Linked DNA regions of Nothobranchius furzeri. The protein of the gene in region 1 interacts with the protein of each later gene in a biochemical or structural test. Links are inferred from orthologs where the notes say so. Each region holds a gene or a part of one and is shown in the gene's direction. Other genes may lie near its edges.

Region 1 (3,159 bases):
TCATAGGAGTTACTTTCCCACCAATAGAGGGCGATGTTTGCAAGCCATCATATGATTTTAATGTTTTTTTCTTTTCCCCAGGGTGATATGTCAGCTGCTTAGCACCGTCCATGAGCACATCCACTGCCTCTACAAACTCTCGGATGCCGTATCCATGCTGGACATGTTGATCTCACTGGCTAATGCGTGCACAATCTCAGACTATGGTAACTACTCCCCCACAAAAAGCAGCCACCATCATGCAGGATGACCCGTTACGTCTCTCCTGAGCTTGCACCTCTGCAGGACTCAGTTCTTTTTTTCCTGCACCATCAGGCATGTGGGTGGAGAGTGTTGGCCCTCAGCTGTCTGAAACCGTCTCTTCATAGACGCACGCGGACTGCCTGCCTCGTTCTGTCCCCGGCAGCATGTACTCAGATTACCCTTCTTACATAAGCGGACGCTGATGTTCTGTATTTGCAGAGACAAGTTCGGCAGCTGACCCAACACCTGTAACCGCTGCTGCACACACCTCGCTCAGAAATGATTGGTTCGCTTTACTGTGATTCGTTTTGAACGCAGTCAGCGATAAGCTGATTACCATGTGACTTTGCTCTTTTAAATTTAGATTTTACCTACAAACACCAACTTTTACATATTTTTAAATTGATTTTCCCTAAATTAGTCGCTCACCAAATACCTGTGTGTGTGTGTGTGTGTGTGTGTGTGTGTGTGTGTGTGTGTGTGTGTGTGTGTGTGTGTGTGTGTCTGACAGTTCGTCCTGAGTTTACAGACACTCTGGCCATCAAGCAAAGTCGTCACCCCATTCTGGAGCGGCTAGCTCGACAGCAGCCGGTGTCAAACAACACCTACATCACCGAGGGCAGCAACTTTGTCATCATAACAGGACCCAACATGAGCGGCAAGTCCACCTACCTGAAGCAGGTGGCGCTGTGTCAGATCATGGCTCAGATCGGTTAGCGGTAGATCTTCAAACCTTGTTAGAAACGATAGATGTGACTTAACGTTATGTCTTAACCACGGGTAGTTATGATTTTTTCAGGCTCTTTCGTCCCGGCTGAATATGCCTCCTTTCGCATTGCCGATCAGATTTTCACCAGAATTGGTGTAGACGATGATTTTGAGACCAACTCTTCCACTTTCATGCTGGAAATGAAGGAGGTGAGCCACTTTGTGCACACAAGGACTGCTCACGTCCAACCAGTCATTAATATGATTGTTTTGCTTAAGATCTCTTACATAATCCACAACGGGAGCGACCGGTCCTTGATCATCATAGATGAGTTGGGCCGTGGCACTAGTGCTGAAGAAGGGATTGGCATCTGCCACTCAGTGTGTGAGTTCCTCCTCCGCCTAAAGGTGAAGTATGCACCAGCACAGCTTAGCTCAGCTACTTCTGTCTCTGAAATTAAAACCAGATCATTCAGATTCCTACGACAAGTCAATTCAGTCTTTTGTCTTTTGCTGCGATCAACTTCTTAGGTCAACAAAGAAGCAGAACAAACAGAGAAATCCTGCATGTTTGCTATTCTAATCTTCAAGGTGTGTCCCGTTTGCTGCTTGCAGGCGTTCACGCTGTTTGCCACACACTTCCTTGAGCTGTGTCAGCTGGAGTCTCTCTATCCTAACGTAGAGAACCAGCACATGGAGGTCCAGCACACACGCAGCGGTGACTCTGGTGCAGAGCATGTGGTGTACACATATCTGCTGAGCCGTGGCTCCTCTGAAGAGAGGCATTATGGTACAGTCAGAGTCCAAGAGCTGTCCTGTTGAAATGCAAAAGGATAACAGAGATTCCCGTTTCCTCCTGTAGGTCTGAGAGCAGCAGAAATGACTGCACTGCCTTCAGATGTGATCCAAGAAGCTAAGACGATTGCCTCTCAAGTCAGCCGGCAGCTTCTGGTGTGGTTCAAAGATCAGATTTTGACATTTTGTCCAACTGCCTTTTCTGCTTTTCTTGACATTTTCTGATGTTTTTTTTTAGCAAGTCCTCCTCATAATATGCAACAGAAGGAGCTAACGCTAAACCCCAAAACATGGTTTAATTGCTGCTATGAAGAAAATTAATTGTGTGAGTAATTAACAACTGCGTGTGTTCTATTGCTCCAGGCGAGACATCAAACTGATCCAGAAACTCAGAGACAGAGAGCGGTTTACCGTCTGGCCACTCGCCTCCTGCAGACCGCCAGAAACTCAAGACTAGACCCTGAAAGCTTGAGGATGTATCTGAAGGGACTGAAGAGGCAGTATGAGGCCGAGCTGCAGGCCGTCGGAGAACTTTAACTCAGAGGATGAATAATTGATTTTCTCCTCACGATGGAAGATGAACTGGAATAAAACGACATTGTTCGTCCATTTTTACAGGGCATTTTGAGTGTATTTGAACATTAAAGGCCAGCGATAATATTTTCTGTTAAATTGTTCTGTTTGACAGTATGATACAACACAATGTCTGTAAGGATTTGTTTTAACAGATTTGTAAAAATTTAAATAAAAAATTGAATATAAAAATAAAAGCTATGCCAGAATAATTTACAGTTTCACAGACATAATTACAGTGATTGATTGGCTGAAGTATTAACAATAAAATATGTGTAAATATTTGTATTATTTTATTTTTGTGACTAATTTTTAAAAACAGCAGCCACCTCTTTTAGAGCATTTGGTTGACACCTCATGGCCGGTACGCCTGGTGTACCGCGGTTATCAAAACGAGCGCTCCCTAAGCTGACTAGTTATGACCCGCCCCCGCGAACCAGAAACAGCGGAGCGTGTGACGGAAGAGAAAGCCAGGCTGGAGCTGCCCTGGGAAGTCGGGAGTCTGTCTGCCAGAGTCACCGCAGAACAACGCCATTTCACCTGCAGCTAGAGGAACAGACGACAGGAGCCACAGGTATTTATCGGACAGCTGTTTCCGCTGATGCTAATGTTGGATTCCTGCCAGGAGAGCCAGCGGCTCTCGCGGAGGCCTGGGAATGGCCCACCGCGGAGGAATGGAGCGATAGTCCGGGTCAGAGATGTCAACCGAGGAGGGCTGAGCCACACTAGCACTAGCGCTAGCTAAAGAGGCCCGTTGGGGTGGGTTTCCACGCCTTCCGAGAGCCAAACTATTTCACTTTTTAACTTCCCTGGTCAGTTTGGTGATAGTTTTGAACATTT
Region 2 (4,378 bases), about 470 kb from region 1:
TTATGAAATTTTTGGAAGAGTCCAAGGTGTATTTTTTCGGAAATACACTCAAGTGAGTTTGACATTGCAAAACGCTTTTATTTTGATAGGGTGTTAAAATAAAACTAATTTGCCTTTATTTATTATAATTTTTTTTACAATGATCTTATTTTTTATGAGCCTCAAATACAAATTGATAAATAATTTAATGCCTGAATGAATAAAAAACAATTTAGATTTTTGTAGATTTGTTTGATTCCTTTTATCATTTAATTTGCCAGTAGTATAATTTATTTATTCAATATTCAAAAGTGCCACGAGTTCTATAAATATGCCAGATTCTTTGTATTGCTTTGCTCACATCTTTCCTACATCTTTTGTATCTTCCTATATAAATATTTTTTTCCAGGCTGAGGGGAAGAAAATTGGCCTGGTTGGTTGGGTCCAAAACACACCAGCAGGAACCGTTCAGGGTCAGCTACAAGGACAACGCAGTAAAGTCAAACAAATGCAAGAATGGCTAACATCAACTGGGAGCCCCAAATCACACATCACCAAGGCCGAGTTCAAGAATGAGAAAGTAGTTGACAGGCTGGAACACTCATCCTTTAATGTTGTAAAATAAATTAAGCTATTGTCTGTACTTGTAATATTAAAATGTAAGCTTTTATTTTTATTTATTTAGTTTTAACAATCTGTATTAAAAAATATTAGTGATTTGTTCACTGTGTACACTCATGATTGTCCTAATAAATGTAAGTTCTCCAAAACATTTCATAGTGTTTGAATTTGATTTATTTGCCCTGTGTGTGTGTGTGTGTGTGGGGGGGGGGGGGGGGGGGGGGGGCAATTACTAAATATTCATCTCATAGCAGATAGCTCAAGTTTTCATAAAACATTTATAAATTATTTCAATTTAGCTGTTGAATTTTCATGCAGACTCAATATGATGTTGCCATTTCTTATTGTCAGTCATACAGTTGAAATTAATTATTAGTGACACCATTGCATGTTTCAGTGACAAGTATTTTTAAAAGGTCTGTTGAGTTTCCATACTTGGTTGAAGCAAAGCAAGGCATTCAGTGGGAACAACTTACTTAAACAGATATTTAGCATTTGTAATGTGTCTCCTAACCCGTGAAGGATCTTCATCTGTACAGCTATGCAGTTTTCCAGAAGGTAAAAGTTGTAGATGCTTGTATTAAATTGAACAAACTTGATGGCATTAGCAGGCTTACTTCAGTTTCAAGTAGGAATTTTGTATTGTTAACTAAATTAAAACTAGATAACGCTTATAACATACGGTTATTTTATTTTCAGAAAAATATGTGTTTAAACATTCCATCCAACATACAAAAATCTGACATCTCAAGGTTCAAAACCAAGAAGTGCCGAGATTTCCATATCACTTGAACGCAGCAGACCATTACGTCAGAGCACGGTTTGGTTGCGTGAGTTTGGATCGCTTGTGTGATTGGTCAATTAAAAGAATTGCGCTAATCTGTTACTCACCAGCACGGGGCAGTGTTACCTTTTGCCAATAGCTAAAAGTGAAAACGGTCACTTCTTTTTTGCAACTCGTTTCCTGTAAACAGCTGATTTAATGTTGTCTAACAAACTATTTTAACGTGTTTCGGTTAATTCGGACTTTCGTTTCATTTGACAGAACACGTTATCTTGCATGTCGCAGGTAGCAACGATGACTTTTTAAAAGCGTTTTCTATTTACTACAGAAAATGTGACCAAATGTAAAAACAAGCGAGGGCAGCATGATCAAGAGTTTGCCCAAAGAGCTTAGAGAGAAACTTCGTTCCGGTGTCGCCATTCCGTCGCTGCAGCAGTGCGTGGAGGAGCTCATCCTGAACAGCATCGATGCCGGTGCGACCTGTGTGGGCGTCCGGATGGACATGGAAGCATTTAAAGTTCAGGTGATCGACAACGGCTCTGGGATAACTGCCGAGGACCTGGAGTGTATTGGGAATCGATACTGCACAAGCAAGTGCAGCTCTGTTGAAGACCTGGACAACCTGAGATGGTATGGTTTCCGAGGAGAAGCCTTGGCAAGTTTAGTATCTTTAGCCACACTTGTTGAAATCTCATCCAGGACCAGGCTGTCGGTAAAAACACACGTCAAACTATTCAAGGATGGCAAGGGCTTGGATGTCTTTGAAGCTGAGACTGTTCGACCATCCGCGGGGACAACTGTTGTCATTTGTAACTTCTTTTACAACATGCCAGTCCGGAGGAAGAGGGTTGATGGTGTCCTGGAGGGTGAGCGGATCAGACACAGGGTCGAAGCCATTTCTTTAATGCATCCTTCTGTGTCCTTTACCCTGAAGAATGACTGCACGGGCACCATGATGGTGCAGCTTCCCAAAGCCAGAAACACCTACCACAGGTTTGTTCAGATACACAGCCTTGCACGGGCAGAGAAACTGGCAGAAGTCAGCTACACACACAAGCAGTTTGAAGTGGGTGGTTATATTGGCAAAGAAGGCCACTACAATAACAGTTTACAGTACTTGTACGTGAATGACAGGCTGCTGTTGAAAACCCACATCCACAAGCTGCTTAACTTCCTCCTACGCAGATTGAGCAGCTCAAACCAGAAGAATGAAGCTCCTGATGGAACTTCTGTCCTTCGGAGTCCAAAGCATAAACGAAACCATGAGCAAAACGGAGTATACATCATTAATATCAAATGTTCCTACTCGGATTATGACATTTGTCTTGAGCCTGCCAAAACTCTGATAGAGTTCAAAGACTGGGATGGTGTTTTGCTTTGTGTCGAAGAAGCAGTCAAAGCTTTTCTGAAGCGGGAGAACTTGGTGTCTTCTCAGGATGACTTGGACTGTGTGTCTTCAGAAGTCTGTGTTCCTGACAAAACGGAAAATCAAAGTATCAAAGCTGGCCAAGCGGCTCCTGGTACTTCCAGCACTGACTGTGGCATAGAAATGAAGCTGGCGTCGGTATCTGTTCATCGCAAAAGTACAGACGACGGTGTTTGCCGTGAGTCTGGTCTGATGGAGCGCAGAGCCGATGAGGCGGATCAACTTGAGCAGGAAGGAACATCTGTTCACGAATCTCAGAGGACTCTGCAGTGTGATCTAAAGTCTGCATCTCCAAATGCACACGATGAAGAGGAGCTAACTTTCAGTCAGTCTGGTGAAGGCTCTGGAACTGCACAAACGCCAGATAGTCAAGAATGTGCGCTCTTGCAGGAAAAAGAGACACAGTTGATTGATAAAACCGCAACCTGCGAGACAAATTCAAGACGCAGCTTCGTACGTGCTGTTCAGTCTGATTTAGACTGCAGTAAGGAAAAGATGCAATCTCCAGATGGACATGAACAAAGTTTTGTAAGTGACAGGAAGATCGGTTTGTCTGATCCATACATTCACAAAAGTCTGCAGATCCGGGACCACTTCCAAACTAATTACAACGAACGAACCTCAAAACGCAAAAACACTCTGGAAGCGGATAACAACGGAGCTTCTCAGAAACTATACGTTCCCTTTAAGATTCCCAGAATCCTCTCTTGCCAGAAACTGTCAACATCTCGGGAGCTTGGATCGCTCGACAAGTTCAGACGAACGTTTGTTAAACATTCTGAACTGAAGTTACTTCATCCTCGTTTACAGAATTATGGTGAACGTCCTCCCATTAACAGCTTCGCTAACAATCCAGAGACTATATCTGTTTGTGAGGACAATCGAGCCACGGGAACAAGGGAGGAAGAGAGGACACCGAACAGCTCCCAAAGACCGCTGACCCTCTCAGACGTCAAAGATCAGAGAAAAGGTCAAATGTCATTAACGGCTAAACTTTGCAATTTGAAGCAACAAAAGACAGAAAATGTCTCCCGGCACGTTTATAATGATGAACTTGAGCAGAGACATGATAATCAGTGTTCCCAGGACCCTGAAGATCAAGTTGACCCAGGGTTGGACAGTTGTAATAATCCTCAAATGAACCAAAAGGAGGAAGATCACTGGCTTCATCACTACGACGCATCTATTGGAAAGATTGTTTATGTCAACAGGATGACCGGCCTCAGCAGATATGAAGACCCGGCTGTGCAGGAAACTCAAGTACGCTGCACATCTGACGTCACCAACATGGCGGTCAGCGTCATCTCTGAGATGGGTGAGGTGGCGAATGCACTTGCATATAAATCCTTAAAACTGCTCCGTTTGTTTGCAGAAAGTGTCATTACTTGTGTGAACTTTCTTCTAGGGGTGGAGTACAGGTGTTACCCATTTCAGGTGGATTCAGTTTTGCCTTTCCTGCCTAAATCCAGGCCAGAAAGAGTGATTAGCGCAGGGACTGACAGTAGAGGTACCTCATCGTCACAACAGATTGTTCACTGTTAGGGCTTCACATCAAAATGAGACGTGTG

Evidence for each region.
Region 2: the proteins of msh4 (region 1) and mlh3 form a complex in vitro, tested with the Homo sapiens proteins (2 studies listed by BioGRID). The link is inferred for Nothobranchius furzeri from reciprocal best matches to the Homo sapiens genes MSH4 and MLH3.

What each region holds. Positions count from the first base shown.
Region 1 is NC_091758.1:32,021,836-32,024,994, forward strand, and holds the end of msh4 (mutS protein homolog 4), read left to right. Parts: intron 1-81; coding exon 82-206; intron 207-754; coding exon 755-955; exon of another isoform or gene 956-976; intron 977-1,042; coding exon 1,043-1,161; intron 1,162-1,230; coding exon 1,231-1,359; intron 1,360-1,566; coding exon 1,567-1,741; intron 1,742-1,813; coding exon 1,814-1,902; intron 1,903-2,109; coding exon 2,110-2,283; 3' UTR 2,284-2,516; downstream 2,517-3,159. UniProt on the Homo sapiens protein: Involved in meiotic recombination. Required for reciprocal recombination and proper segregation of homologous chromosomes at meiosis.
Region 2 is NC_091758.1:32,493,684-32,498,061, forward strand, and holds the start of mlh3 (DNA mismatch repair protein Mlh3), read left to right. Parts: upstream 1-1,482; 5' UTR 1,483-1,748; coding exon 1,749-4,125; intron 4,126-4,215; coding exon 4,216-4,317; intron 4,318-4,378. Other genes in the region: acyp1 (acylphosphatase-1), read left to right, coding at 1-52, 389-604. UniProt on the Homo sapiens protein: Probably involved in the repair of mismatches in DNA.